Rattus norvegicus: one gene and its partner. The protein of the gene in region 1 purifies or fractionates together with the protein of each later gene. This does not show direct contact. Links are inferred from orthologs where the notes say so. Each region holds a gene or a part of one and is shown on either strand. Other genes may lie near its edges.

What was found.
Region 2: the proteins of Flcn (region 1) and Fnip2 purify together in Homo sapiens (affinity purification with western blotting; 5 studies listed by BioGRID and IntAct, with this or other methods). This does not show direct contact. The link is inferred for Rattus norvegicus from reciprocal best matches to the Homo sapiens genes FLCN and FNIP2.

What each region holds. Positions count from the first base shown.
Region 1 is NC_086028.1:45,095,584-45,103,474, reverse strand, and holds part of Flcn (folliculin), read left to right. Parts: intron 1-1,846; exon of another isoform or gene 1,847-2,090; intron 2,091-2,343; exon of another isoform or gene 2,344-2,580; 5' UTR 2,581-2,602; coding exon 2,603-2,851; intron 2,852-3,490; coding exon 3,491-3,637; intron 3,638-5,054; coding exon 5,055-5,276; intron 5,277-6,103; coding exon 6,104-6,264; intron 6,265-7,537; coding exon 7,538-7,629; intron 7,630-7,891. UniProt on the Homo sapiens protein: Multi-functional protein, involved in both the cellular response to amino acid availability and in the regulation of glycolysis.
Region 2 is NC_086020.1:166,899,187-166,907,077, reverse strand, and holds part of Fnip2 (folliculin-interacting protein 2), read left to right. Parts: intron 1-2,898; coding exon 2,899-3,099; intron 3,100-4,529; exon of another isoform or gene 4,530-4,635; coding exon of another isoform or gene 4,636-4,683; intron 4,684-6,536; coding exon 6,537-6,652; intron 6,653-7,891.

The DNA of each region.
Region 1 (7,891 bases):
CTCTGAGCGAGTCATTTGGTGCCTCTCATGTGTTGGGAACTGTGGTGGACACAGAAGGGATTGTATTTAACCAAAGTCTCCACCAAGAGGAGCTTAGCATTTGTGAAGGGAAAACACAAGCAACATAGGTCCCAAAGCCTAGGACAGGTGACAGAGTGGGAGCTGGTAGGTTGGGGAGTGACAGTCAGCATGAGCTAGTCAGGCACCTGGAGGCCGGGTGCTCCCGACAAAGATCTGCAGCCCACATGTTCAGGACCTTCATCTCCAGCTCTTCTGCCCTGTGCTGCAGTCAGAACCCCCATGGGCAAGTGTACCCCCAAGTTCTCTGCCTCCTGCCTTATCAGTTGTTTATAGCTGCTGCTGCTAATCCTGTTTCAGCCTAGGAGGACTGGTGCTCGGTGACCTGTCAGCTCAGGAAGTTGACTGCAGAAATGCTAGAGGTAGGGCTGCTGATGGTAGTGCCATCTCAAAGGAGGCAGCCAGAGACGACCAGGGCACAGCTGTCCGTCACCAGCTACCTGTGTGACGAGTGCTGAGCTCCAACTTTGCGCTCGTCTGATGGGCCATATCTTGGCCTATTCTTCCCGGGGACAAGGACCTAGGAAGAAAGTGTCCTCTTGCCTGTATTTAGAGACTTAAATAGTTGCATACTCCTTGAGTAGGATTCTCCTAAGGAGCCCGGGCGTTGTTGTTGTTGTTGTTTATGGAAATGCCCCGGAACCCACACAGTTCAGATGAAGCCCTGTGTGAACGGCGGTCCTGAGTTTTGCTCTAGTTTAAAATCTTGAGTTGTCCCATGTGACTGGATATGGTGGGTGTGAAGACCCTAACCCGTCCTTCCAGACCTTTTTCCAGCCAGCCAGTATGGTCTGCAGTGTCCATGGGTCAGGTATGCAGCTTTGGCCGTCCCCACCTCTGCCTTTGCCACCTCTGCTGTCAGAACCCCTAGGACATTCTGGCCTTTAACACCTTTTCTGGTTAGCTGTAAAGCAGAGAACAAATGCCCCTCGGCCACCCAACCGTGCCGCAGCTGCCTGCAGGCTGCCATATCATTTCGTCAGGTGGAGAAGCGGGGCTTCCCAGACACCACAGCCCTTTCAGGTTCACCCTGTCTCTTCCACTGGAGCACCATTCCCCACTCTTTCCTCTCTCCTCTAGAAATCACATGACTTCCAGTGACCTTCCTGTGGCTCTGCAGGTGGTCAGTTTTGGGTGGTTTTGTTTGGTTTTTGTTTTAGACAGGGTTTTACTCTGGCTAGCCCAGAATTTGCTTTGTAAACTACACTGGCCTCTGCCTCTGTGGCAATGCTGGGATCACCGGTGTGCCACCATGCCTGCCTACGCCTTTTTAAAAACTCATGATGTGATAAAACTCATGACGCAGCATTTAACTCTCTCCCTCACACCATCCACCTCAGCTCCACTGTCTTCCCAGCTGACACCGTCTCTATCAGACTCTGGTCACCTCGCTGGGGTCAGGTCCGGCTCCCCAGATCTCTCCAGTGGGTTAGCCAGAGCGTATCCTGCATGTGCCTGGTTTCATTCTGTCCGAGATACAGCGGTTTGTAGGATTGCCTGACTCTCAAGGCTGAGTGACACCCATTCTCCCCTTACTAAAGCTCTTATTGGTCCAGCAGGATGGCTTAGGTGGCTCTTTGGTCACCTGCTCTGGAGGGCCCTGTGATCTGTGGAAGCCACATGGTCCCTGTTTGAGGCCCTGGCTGCCCCATTCAGTTCCACTCGAAGCTAAAAAATGTCTGCAAACCCCACCCCAGCATCCGCTCCGCCCCGCCCCTTTGTTTTCCCCATCTCCATCTTCATTATCCACATTCTCTCCTCCCTCTAGTTGAGTCCGCCTACTCATTTTGGAAACTCTGGCACTGTTTGGCCTCCCCACCTGTCACCGTCACCCACCAGTGCCCCATCGTTCTTCAGTGGGCAGTGGGGCTGTCATCTGGCACCTTCTGCTCCTCAGCAAAGCCCTCAGAGCTGGTTTGCCTTCATCAGAACCCTGGGAACCTTGCCATTTCTAGAACAAACGGGGGCCTGGCTGTGGCCACAGAGTTCAAGAGGTCCGCCTCTGCCCTCAGGTCTGCCCATCTCTGAACCCACTCAGGCCCCCCCATCTCTGAACCCACTCAGGCCCCACCCACCTGCTTGGCCCACCCACGGCTCCACCCAGACCTGTGCAGCCAACCCCACCTCTGGTCCTACTCCCCTCAGAGTCCCCTGTATGTGCTGCAGAGCTGTGTTCCAAGTCTCCCCATGCAGAAAGATGTTCATCTCTGTAGGTGCCCCCCACCCCGACCCCAAGCACCCCAGCATTCAAACCTTGCCTTGCAGGTGTGGGAGATGATGAAGGCTGCTGACCCTCCTTGGTGCCTGTCCTGTCTGTGTCCATCTATCCGTCCATCCATTTGCTCTTCTCCCCCTCCCCCGTGTCTTTCCTGCCCTTGATGTAGCAACTGTTACGCAGCGAGTGCCCATTGGTGCTGGCAGGTGCGGACACCCTGTCAGAGCCCTTGGCCTGATTCCGTAGCATGGATGGGGCAGGCCCACAGATGCCGTCCTTCCCTACAGGCCTCGGCCATTCTCCAGCACCATGAACGCCATTGTGGCTCTCTGCCACTTCTGCGAGCTCCATGGCCCCCGCACGCTCTTCTGCACGGAGGTTCTACACGCTCCCCTGCCCCAGGGTGCCGGAAGTGGGGACAGTCCTGGCCAGGTTGAGCAGGCTGAGGAAGAAGAGGGCGGCATCCAGATGAGCAGCCGAGTCCGTGCCCACAGCCCAGCCGAGGGCGCCAGCACTGACTCCAGCAGCCCGGGGCCCAAGAAGTCAGACATGTGCGAGGCAAGTGCCCTTTGGGACCGTGAGCTGGTTTTAGCCTTTCTGTGAGAGGTGGGCTGTAGTGGGAGCCTGGGAAACCTCCAAGGTCCTGAGAACATTTTTCTCACCACCCCAGCATGAGCCCTTTTAACCTAGTCAGTGCAGAGGCCGGTCTAGTCTACAGAGAGAGTTCCAGGACAGTCAGGGATGCACAGAGAACCCCTGTCTCGGGGGGAAGAAAACCACACATCATTACACATACTTAAAGGAAGTCGTACCAACTAGAGATAATGTTTCTCCAGAAAAAAGCAAGTTTCTTTTCTTTCTTTCTTTCTTTTTTTCTTTTTTTTTTTTTGTTGTCGTTGTTGATTTTGGTTTTGGTTTTTCTGAGACTGGGGTTTTCAGTGTAGCCCTGGCTGTCCTGGCACTTTACTCTTTAGACCAGGCTGGCCTCAAACTCACAGAGATCCTCCTTCCTCTGCCTCCCTAGTGCTGAGATTAAAGGTGTGCACCACCACTGCCCAGCAAGAAGATGATTTTTAAAAAGTTTTAAAAATTTAAAAAGGATTGTGTTTTCTATATTTAGATATGTTGCCTGCTCCTAGCCAAGAGATTTATTTATTTATTTATTTATTTATTTATTTTGTCGTCCTTTGTGTGCAGGGCTGCCGCTCGCTTGCTGTAGGGCACCCAGGTTATATCAGTCATGATAAGGAGACCTCTATCAAGTACGTCAGCCACCAGCACCCCAACCACCCACAGCTCTTCAGCATTGTCCGCCAGGCCTGTGTCCGCAGCCTGAGCTGTGAGGTAAGGCCAGCGGCAGGCTATCCGCGGGAGACGTGCACGGGGACAGATAGGTTCATTGCTGTTTACCAACACAGGGGGCCTTGCTTGTCAGTGCTGTGTGAGCATGGAAGCAGTCGTTAGAGCCTGAAGAGTAAGTCCCTGTGGACTCGGGCTGTCTACATAGGGGTTGGCATTTCACTTCGAACAACAGACTGGTTTTTCTAGTCCATTCTTGATGGGCAAGTCTCTGAGATGGGACGGTCCCTAGGCAGTGTCACCTTTACATTGTATCAACATGCCATGGTGGAATGCTTAGAACCTTCCAAAGAATGCATCCGGCTGCAGGGCTGGCTCAGTGGTGAAGAGGTCCTAAGTTCAATCCCAGCAACCACATGTTGGCTCACAACTGTCCATAGCTCAGTCCCAGGGGACCTCACACCTTCTTCTGGCCTCCATGGCCACTGCACGCACGTGGGATAGACATATATGCCGGCAAACAGAGCAGAGAAGAAAAATAAAGGTTTAACAACAAACAAGAATGTTTGCCCCTGAGCTTCTGCTGTGGGGCCCGAGTCTCAGCTTCTAGGTCTGATCTGTCCCACAGGCATATATGGCCCCTATCTCCACCTTGTAGGATCCCTGGGCGCCATGGTGCTTGTTCTCAGTGTGCTCTATACCTCCGTCTCCTGCTGTACGCTCAGCAGCACCAGATGCCCTGTGCACAGTAGTCACAGGTCCAGCAAATTTGTCAGGAGGGAGAGACCAAAGGACTCTCTAAAAATAGGGTGTGCTATGGGCTGGAGATAGCTCAACAGCTACGATTCTGTGCTACTGATACGGATGATCTCAGTTTAGTTCCTAATATCCACCCACGCTGGGTAGCTTACAGCCTCCCATGACTCCAAATCCAGGGGATCCAGCACCTTTGGCCTCTGCAAGCACCTGTACTCGTGTTTACACCACCCCCTCCTCCAACCCTACACACCACATTCCCATGATTTAAAGACCAGAAGTAGCCATTGCTTCTGCTGGCTCTCCAGTCTGCCCATCAAGAGCAAGTTGTAACATTTGGTGCCATTCATTGATAGGACACTGGCCTGCTCTGTTCCAGCCAGGCCCTGAGTCCTAACCCCAGCACCACCAAAAACAGGAAAAGAGGGCCTGGAGAGATGGTTCAGTGGTTAAGAGCACTTACTGCTCTTCCAGAGTCCTGAGTTCAAATCCCAGCAACCCCATGGTGGCTCACAACCATCTGTAATGAGATCTGATGTCCTCTTCTGGTGTGTCTGAAGACAGCTACATACAGTATATATATACTTATATATAATAAATAAATCTTTAAAAAGTCTTTAAAACAATAACAGAAACAGGAAAAGAGGCCCACGAGGCTTGAGGTAAAGTCAGGACTTCCCCTAAAGTTACTGTGGCTCCCTCCAAGGTGTGCCCTGGTCGTGAAGGCCCCATCTTCTTTGGTGATGAGCAACATGGCTTTGTGTTCAGCCACACCTTCTTCATCAAAGACAGCCTGGCCAGAGGCTTCCAGCGCTGGTACAGCATCATCGCCATCATGATGGATCGGATCTACCTCATCAACTCCTGGCCCTTCCTGCTGGGCAAGATCCGCGGGATCATCAGCGAGCTCCAGGGCAAGGCCCTCAAGGTGATGCTCAAGGCGGGGCTGTGGCCGTTTGGCATGGATGCTGGGTGCCCGGGCAGCAGTGGTCCTCCTGGCTCTGCCTCTGCTTTGGGCCCACGCTTCAGTGCGGTGATGTCCCGGGCGACCCTCCCAGCCAGCCTGTAACTCTCCTGGTTTCATCCTGGTCTTGAATTCAGAGACCCGCCTGCCTCTGCCTCCTGAGTGCTGGGATTAAAGGCAATCACCCCCGCCACAGCTGTCCTAACTGCTATTCAACCTCTGACTTCTTGCCCAGTACCTTTACTTCCTGTACCCTTCACAACCCAAACTGCCTGCTACTCTTATCTAGACCCCACCTAGGGCACCCCCTCCAGCTGCAGAAGAGCACACAGGCAGGCATGGCCATGCTTTGGTCACAGACCTTTAGACTCAGTGGCCCATTTCTCATTTGTGCTCTGTCCTTGGGCAGTAGAGGAGGAGGCTGTTCATCCTTCGTCCTGATAGGTGGAGTGGCTGGACTGTATTAGAATGTGGCTGGAAGGCATAGGAGCCTCCTATAAGGAGTTAGTCCTGTGTCTGTCACCTGCAAGGGTCTGTGAAATGAACCTGAGTACTTGAAGAACGGTGACTATCCAGTGGAGTCCAAGGAGCCAAGTAGGGGTAGAGAGGAACACACAGAACCCCCTGGGTCAGCAGAACCATTCTGTGAGGCATTGCCAGACTGCTGGCATGGACCGTGTTCTGAGTCAGGAACACAGAGTGGGAGAATCTGGGAAGTGGGGTGGCAGTAACTGAAAGGTTCGGTGGTAGCCATCCCTGAAGAGGCCCTCTTCTCCACCCTTTGTATTCAGGTGTTTGAGGCAGAACAGTTTGGATGTCCACAGCGTGCCCAGAGGATGAACACTGCCTTCACACCCTTCCTGCACCAGAGGAACGGCAACGCTGCCCGCTCTCTGACCTCCTTGACCAGTGATGACAACTTGTGGGCCTGTCTGCATACTTCCTTTGCCTGGTAATGAATCCTGGGTCTCGGCATCTGTGAGCCATTAGAACAATGCAAAGTCACCCATCTGCCTCCTGGTGGGGTTGGCTTGTGTACCTCTGTGGGTCTGCTGCAACCCAGAGAGGTCTCTGTCTCCCCACTGGATGGAAACCCTGTGAGGTAGAACTCATTTTTGCACTGACACAAGTGGGAAGACCACCAAGTCTCCTCTCTGAAGATGGCAGCAGGTTTCTAGCTCAGGCCTCTCCCGAGCCGGTAGCTGGTGCTTTGGGCTGAGGCCTGGGAGTTTTTGCCGGTGGGGAGCAGTCAGCTGGTGTCTGGGGTGAAGGTCTGGTGTATGGGTGCCCTATGAAAAGGGAGCTCCTGACCCTCCACTGAGTAGTCCAGGAAAACGGAACATGTAGAGCCTTAGCACCTGAGTGTAGCAGGGACATTCTGCTCCTTCTGGAGTTTGTTTGTCAGCCGATGGGCATGTAGGCTGGGCCTGTTCCTTGGCCATTGTGAATAGAGCAGCAGTAAACAGGAGTATTTAAGGATCTCCGCTGTGGTCGCTTGAAGTCCTTCAGGTCATGCCCGGGAATGGCGTATCGGGTATGGATTTGGAGGCTTCTCCCCACTAAGACAGGAAAACAGAGTTGGGTCCTGTGGAACTGCAGTTACAGATGGTTGAGAACCACGGAGTCAGTGCTGGGAGCTCACCCCATTCCCCGGTGAGAGCAGCAGATGCTGTTAACTGCTGAGCTGTCTCTTTAGCCCCTGTCCTGGGTTTTCCTGCTGAGAGGAATTCTAACTGATGTGAAAGGGGATGTCTAAGTAGTTTGAATTTCTGTTTCCCTGATAGTTAAGGATATTGAATACCTTTTCACATACTCATTGGCCATTTGTAACTTCTTCCTTTGAGAATGGTCTAGAATGTTTTTGGTTTTTACACCTATTATGTAGCCGTGAGAACATTACCTCACTTAGCAGAACTAAAGATTGTCTGGGGTACAACTTAGGTTCCCTTCATCTCGAAGGTGACTTCTGAATTGGGATTAAAACCAACAGTTCCTTCAAACATCCCATACTCTATTTTTCTCATCCCCTCTGAAGAAGGACCAAACTCATGTCTTACGGAATGTTTCCTCAGTGATGGGGGCTGGGGTGTTGGAGGGCGGTCTTTGAGTATGCTTATGTAGGCCATCTTCTGTGAGCTGGGGTTTGAACCTAGGGCTTAATAAGCCTCAGGTTCAGTTTTCCCATTGGCAGGGTACCTCATGACTGGTATTGCATTTTTCTCCAGGCTCCTGAAGGCATGTGGTAGCCGGCTGACAGAAAAGCTCTTAGAGGGTGCTCCCACAGAGGACACCCTGGTCCAGATGGAGAAGCTTGCTGGTAAGTCTGTTTTGTTTTCTGGGCTGTCTATAGTGGCAGCAACACCCCTGGCTTGTGGCTGCCATAATGAGTGGAGCTGGTACAAGGGAGTCTGGATGTGAATAAGCATGATAGGCCTTTGTGACAGCCACTCCCATGCCCTTGTTGATGTTATGATTCCGACTCATCTTCCTCGATGGTGCCTATTCTCAAGTAGGTTGGGGATTCTTAGAGAGTTCCCTGAAGGCAGCTCCACTGGGCAATCTCGAGGTGGCTCTGCTTG
Region 2 (7,891 bases), on another chromosome or scaffold:
GCTCCCCTTCCTCCCTTTTCTCTCTCCCTTCCCCCGTCCCTCTCCTCTTTCCCCTCTCTCCTCTTTCTCAACTTATTTTTTATTTTATATATATGAGTGTGTTTGTCTACATTTAGGCATATGTACCACATGCATGGCTGGTCTATACAGAAAATGGCAGATTTCCTAGAACTGGAGTTACAGACAATTATGAACTGCTATGAAGGTTCTGGGACCTGAACCCAGGTCTTCCACAACAGCAATATAGCCGTGCCATCTCTGGATAAATGAGTCGTGCTATACTCTTACAAGAGGGTACTCAAAAATACGAATAAGGCACTAAAATGCAATAATTACAGCTATATCTTAAAAGAAGCCAGACACAAAAGATTATGGACCATGTGATCGTATTTATATGAAATTCTACAAAAGTCAGAACAATAGTTCTATGTAGGCTTAGATTTTTCAAAACCTACTTTATTTAGGGTTCTTAAACGTTTCAACCTCCCTCCTAACCCACTGACCATAGGTAGGGAAAAAAAGGTTGATAGGAAAAGGGTGTTGTGGACCTGTTTAGAAGTAGTTCCTTGGGGTGGTTCCACTCATTGTTGTCGGGATACCAAGCAATAGCAAGCACCAGGTGAATCAGTTGAGGTGGCTTGATCTAGCAGAAACAGCGCGGCTCCACCATTTAGGTACAAGTCATGGAATGGCCAGAATCAGCAGGAATACCATGAGAAGTTCTATGGCACATTTCTCTCTATGAAGTGAACACCAGCAAAGATCAGCTAGGGAAGCGTTGCATGGCATAGCAACACAAGAGCGTCCTCCCGCTGTTTGTGGGGTTCCATTTATCTTCTTTCTAAACATCGTGCACCCTCTCAAATGTCTGTGTTCAGCCCTTTTACAAGACAGCTTCCAGGAAAGCATCATGTGAGACGACTGAGTTGTTAAAGAAACCAGAAATGTCCACTTCAGTTCTAGGAGGCGTAGTATTAGTTGTTGCTGGGATGACTCACTAGAGAGGTCTGACTACAAAGGAACTTGAATTTCTGTGGTCCTGCAAAATTTTAATACATGATTTTGATAGTGGGTGCACAAGTGTGTGTGTGTATATGTATATATATGTATATATATTTGTTAAGCTCATCCAGTTTACATATATAGTGAGTGAATTGTAACGTGTAAATTACATCAATAAATAAGACAAAATGACGTTCAAAGGAGTATAAAAGGCAAACTTCCAAATAGCACACCAGTACCCTTCCAACATAAAATGATGGATACTTATCAGCCATATGACCCATGGGACACTTGCATAAGGCTAGGAAGATTTTATACTCTAACATTATGACTACTATTTTTAATAAAGTTTCTTCATAGCAAAACAATCAATTTGATAAAATTAAATGTAATCATTCTGTTATAAAACATCACACCTACATATTATTCATATCTGTACTCCCAAATTTCGAGATCAGTTTTAAAAGTCAGGCATTAAGAAAATTAATCAGAAAAACAGCCTTTCTGAAGATTTAAGGATAGAATATTAACAATGTCAAAATTATCTCCCAGAAACTAGGAGTAGTATTCCAGATGAGAAAAGCAAGCTGCTGACTGGTAAAAAAGCCTCCCGTAGCATGTGGATAGATATCAGGTCTCAGTGCTCCTATAACATGCTGCTGTCCATACCACCCGTGGAGCACGTGCAAGACTTGAGGCTTTGGGCTTGGATGCAGACCATCCCAAGGGAGCTTTTACTATTTTACCACCAGCTCCTGCTACTAACTTGTCACATATATGAATCACTAGCTCAGCTATTTAACACCTACAGAACTACAGTTTCCATCTCGGATCTCTGGATCTCTTGTGGGTTGCTACAGGAAGGCAATGAGTTCAGAGCAACTACAGGTAGAGCAGAAGCCCAATTGAGAGATGAGATGTTTAGGAGGCCATTTTCTCTGTTATTTCAAGGTTATCTTACTTTGTGTTTATTTTCTGTTACTGTGATAAAATACCCTGACAAAACCAGCGTAGAACAGAAGGGTTCACTTTGGCTCACTGTTTGAGGTCATAGTCTGTCACTGCAGCAGGAGCCTGGGTACAGCTGGTCACACTGCATCTGTGGACAAGCAGGAGAGAGTAATGAACGTGTGTACTCTTCACTTCCTCCTATATAGAGCCCAGGTCCCAGCCTAGGGAATGGTGCCACCCATCATGAGCCAATCTTCCCACCTAAAATATCCCAGTCAAGACAGTCCTTTATAAGCATGCTCTAAGTCTCACTTGACAGCTGAGATTCATCATTACAGACGTTTATACCTTATGATACAGTTTATTATGAAGTATTTTTAAGAAAAAATACTCAGCAGCCAGACTTTAACCTTTTAGATTCATCTGGATCAATAAGTTCTCAGCCTCATTATAATTGATTATTAGAAATTATTGGTATGCATAACCACAGTTACTAAAGAAACTTTGTTTAACAATTAAAGCTGTAACTTTAAGGAATTGGTGCTGGTGGTGGTAGTATTGTGTGTACACATGTGTACACATACATGTCTGTGTATATGGAGGCCAGAGGTCACCCTTGGGTGTATTCCTCAGGTTATCTGTCCACCTTCTGATATTTTTTTGTTTGTTTTTAAAGGTGTGTGTGTGTGTGTGTGTGTGTGTGTGTGTGTGTGTGTGTGTGTGTGTGTGTGTACATGTATACCACAGCACATTTGTAGGTCAGGACAACTTGAGCGTGTCCTTCTCAGGCACTGAACTTGGATTTAAGCGCTGCTTCAGCAGCACACCTCTCTGAGTACCTGTCAAGTTCCAGGCTTCTGCAGTTCGCACCTTCATCCTGTAATCTCAGACAGCACTCTATCCATTCCGAGCTGAGAATGCCAATCCACCGTCTCTCTCTTTCAGCACCCAGTGCTCGATGAGCCCATAGCCGAAGCCGTCTGCATCATTGCAGACACTGACAAGTGGACTGTCCAGGTGGCCACAAGTCAGAGGAAAGTGACGGACGCCATGAAGCTGGGCCAGGATGTCCTGGTCTCTAATCAGGTGTCCAGTTTACTCCAGTCCATCTTACAGCTCCATAAGCTTCACCTCCCCGCTGATTTTGTAAGTATTTGGTCTTCTGCCATCAGTAATCATATAGCTGGAAAATGGCTTTTATTCAGTATTCTGATTATAAAAATCACAAGTTCGGACACATCATTTTTAATATATTGAAGGTTAGCGTTAAAGAAAAATGGAGCATGCAGCATCAGACCTGCAGACCGGGCACAGGACCGGACGGAGCAGAGGACAGTGCCTTCTGTACAAAGCAGATAGTAAAGTAGATAAAGGGAACAGAGCCTAAAAAGCAATCAGAGTCCTCCTTGGAGAGCGTCTAGACGGGTCCGAGACCAGCCAGTTTCTGAAGGGAGTGTAGTTTCTTCTGTTCTGTGAGCACCCTCCCAGTCCATTGCAGGTGAATGGAAGCACTTCAAATTTGGAAGTTCTGTGTAAGAACTTAGAACATGGTGTCAGCTGTTCCTTTCCAAGTGGGATTTGATAATCACTTTTGTAACATTTTAAATAGAAATGAAGAACAGCCTAGAAAGTCCTAGAAAATTATTTGCAGTTCCTCCCTAGTCTGTGGGATAGATTTAACAAATTTCTTTTGATATGTGGTATGTGTGCAGAGAGGTTGAAAGTCTGTTTAGGGAATGAGAGAGAGAGGTTTGTGAAGGGGAGGAATGAAAGGCACATAACTGGCAGCTTAGGGACAGTGGCCATAGGGATGCACTTGCAAGTGCCTGCCTTTCTGCTTTCCTTCCATCAGTGCAGGATTGCTTTCTGCAGCACAGCCTGAGCTCAAAGCTTCCACCTTCCTCCTGGCCTCAGGAAATAGCACAGAATTATTTAACAGCAAAACAGGAAGCTGAGTATCCGTTAATACACTGACTGCCACTTCACTGGTCACCTAAATTCTTACGGTGGGGTCCTCAGTTGCACCATTTTGCACACAGTCAGGACTTTGGTGTGGGCTTTCTAAAGATGGGTATGGACACTGTCATACTGTAGCAGGTCAGGAAAACCTTGCAGCATCCCTGGATTTCACTTGTGTGGCGGATGATTCTGAGTGTCTTTGAAGCTTAGGTTTCTTGTTTGCATCATGAAGATGTTACAGATATGCTGTAAGGATGCTCTGAGGGCCAGAGAGGAAGCGCTGCTTTTTTTTTTTTTTTCCAAAAGTGTCAAAGTACCACACCAGCACAGGTAGCTTTAAAACTCACTTGCATATATATTCACAGTCAAAGGGTGGTCATGACAGCCAACTCCAAGTTCTACTTCTGTGCTGCATAACCTCCCAGAGCCTCAGCTTATCTGTACATCTGAAAGAGTGAATAAACGTACGAGTGTGCTTCATGAGCTTAGGAAAAGTAGTTAATTCATACGAAGCACTTGGAATCATGGCAGATTTTACAAGCCACCAGTAAGTCAGTCTGATTGGCATGTCTTGGTGACAGTTCAGCAGTATCGAAGGTGTAAGAACTGGCAACGCCTTTCATAACAATCTTTATTTGGCTCTTAGCTGAAGCGTGCTCTGCAGACTGTGGGTCCAAGGGGCGTCAGGAGCACCACTCAGCGTTATTATGATCTCACTTTATCCTAGAAGTGTTTTGATCTGTCCTGATTTTGAGACTTGAATTTCCTTTTCTGTAAGGGAAGGAGGAGATATTAGACCCTGTGGTGGTGTTACTGTCTTTACAGATGCTGTCATTGGATTGTCTAAGACATGGTTCTCATTGTCTGACATCTTAGCTATCAAAGCAATAATTTACAGAACATTCCTTTTGCTTCATTTGGTAGAAACATACATGGCCACTTGGTAATACATGGATGACTTACTTAACCTGGGAAAACCAAAATCCAGAAGAGTTCCATCTAAGCACTGCTTACATATGAAAGGAAAAAAATAGCTAAGTTTTAGAAGTTGAAAATTGGGTTGGGGATTTAGCTCAGTGGTAGAGCGCTTGCCTAGCAAGCGCAAGGCCCTGGGTTCGGTCCCCAGCTCCGGAAAAAAAAAAAAAAAGAATAGAAGTTGAAAATTACATTGCATCTCAGGAATAAAATCTTACAAAGAAGGGAAAACTACTCAACATAACTCTATTTGATTATGAAGCTTTAAACTATTTTTTTGTAAATGTGGTTTTTTTTTCATTTAGTATACAGTCCTAGACCCACATTGCATCATATACTTTTTCTGTAGACTAAGAACGCTATACATAAACCACTTTAAGACTTAAGAAGTCACTATAATTTGAATGTTCTTGTTGTGTATCTTGTAACTCTTATTAAACACTTACAACTTTATTCCATAGCGAACCAAAAGTTGGTAGAAAAATTCCTCTGCTACTTCCCTATGCTCATTTAAGGGACCATTTCTGAGATCGGTGGTATCCCTTCAACTTGAGTAGTGCTTACATGCTGTTGGGCTTGTCCCTAGCACAGTACCTAAGATGCTAACCAGTGAAACACTGAAAGTGCCCTTGTCTCACAGACACTTTGTCTGCCCTGATGTTGATCAGCCCAGATGGTCAGGATCAACATTTTCAAATGCATCTGTTAATCCTTTTACCTTGAAAATGAGAGGACTGATGGTCCAGAAGGAAATTATGCATGATGGAATTACCCTGCCAAAGCCTTCGAGTATCTCCCAGAGACACTTAGACAGCTGCCTGCCAAGTGCAGAAGCATTTGCTGCCGGTGAGAGATGTAGATGACTGCAGTTCTCTAACCACTGAGGCTGGACACCATCCCAAGGGTGAAGACATCCCCCAAATCATGTCTCTCCTATTGCTACTAAAGACTTAGTTAAAGGATACTCTCGATACCAAAATAAAAGTGAGGGACATTGTTCCAATCATTCTGCTTTTGGGAATGTATTATGCCAGAACAGTCTGAGGTGTAGGAAGAAAACAAGAACTAAAACATTTTCCACAAAATTATACCCCAAATGTAGATTTCCCCATGGCTAAGTAAATAATGGTAAGTTAACGTTCTCTAGAGCATTGGCCATAAACATGGCACAGTAAGGAACTCTTAAATATGAGATTATTGCTAAGTTTCTTAATGACAAGAAATTTTGTGAACAGAGGCATAAAGGACGAGTGCAAAAATCCACTTTTGCAACTCACTGCTCAGTAGGGTTTTGATACACTTAAGGAGGAATGTGGTGCTCAAGAGACTTAACATTGACGACGGTATTGACCATAAGACTGGTTCCACGGAAAGAGAGTTGACAACTTAAAAGCCAAAAAACAGGAATGTTCATGCTTATGGAATGATTTAACTTCTGTGAAATGTTTTCTTTTAAAGATACTAGAATGATACCATATAACAATGTTAATAGCTATTTTATGAAAAACTCAAGCTGGTAGTTTTGGGGGTTAAATCGAAAGGGGGGCAATTACAGCTGTGTTTGTAGAACTAACTAAAGAGAAGCCCCGCTCTGACCCTGGCGGATGCTGCAGTTGTAGTCCTCATTGTGAATGCTGTTGGCTTTGCAGTGCATCATGCATCTGGAAGACAGACTACAGGAGATGTACCTCAAAAGTAAAATGCTTTCAGAGTATCTCCGGGGACACACACGTGTGCACGTGAAAGAGCTGAGCGTGGTGCTGGGGTGAGTTCTGGGAAAGGCTGGCCTTTCTCCAACGTGTACTGGCTGCAGTCCGATGCAGCACGCACATGCACACATGCACACACACACGACCTATTGGCCTGTGTCATTCTCTATCTACAGGATCAGTATTTCTCACTGTGCCCAGGGACAGTCAGAGGTGTGCCCATTCCCCAGTGAGTTGCAGCTTGTAGGCTGGAGTGACATTTGATCTAATTCTATCTCTTCATTCATAGTGACACTGTAACAGTGTAAAAGACACAAGCTATGAGGAGTAGTAGCTTGTCTTACATGGTGGAGGAGGTGGGAGGCTCTTTGAGTGGACCTCCTGAGCTTACTCACCCAAGGGAAGACCTGCTCAATACTAAGAATGTACACTATCTTCTGAGGACACTTGTCACACTTTATCTACAAAACCTTCTGACTCCACTTTCATTTCAATAGAAATAACAAAAGGGACTATACCTATGAGGGATTTCCCTCATATTCCTGACGATGATTCTGCTAATTTGGAATAAGATACTACTATGCCTATAATGTCAGCCTTTAATTTTTTTACTAAGCCTGATAAATTTTTGTTTTATTTAGTTAACTTTGTTTTCCTTTTCAAGCAAGCTTTTTCGTTTGCTTTCTTGCTTGCTTGCTTTTGAGATGAGGCATCACTGTTTAGCCTAGGCTGGCTTTAAATTCAGAATCCTTTAGCTTCAGCTCCTCCACTATTAGTATAAGCACGTGCCACCATACCTGCCTCTCAGTGTTTTTTTGTTCTTACTTCTGCTGCTGCTATTGCTACTACATGTGTATGTGAATGCATTTGCGTGCCACATATATGCACATCCACATGGAGAGCAGAAGAGGGATATCTGATCCCCTCAAGCTGGATTTACAGGCTGTTACAAGATGGCAGACGTAGATGCTAGGACATGTGCTCTTAACTGCTGGGTCATCTCTCCATCTCTTATAGTATTAGTTAACAGTTAGACCTCAAATTCTTATCAGATTTTTCTATCTTTTACAGCTAGATTTAGTTAGTTTTTCCTATTGTCTTAGTCACTGTTCTATCACTGTGAAGAGACACCATGACCAAGGCAACTCTTGTAAAGGAAAGTATTTAGTTGGGGCTGCTTACCGTTTCAGAGGTTTAGCCTGTTGTCATCACAGCAGGGAGCATGGTGGCACACAGTTAGACATAGTGCTGCAGAAGGAGGTGAGAGTTTTATATCCTGATCCAGCACCGGAGAG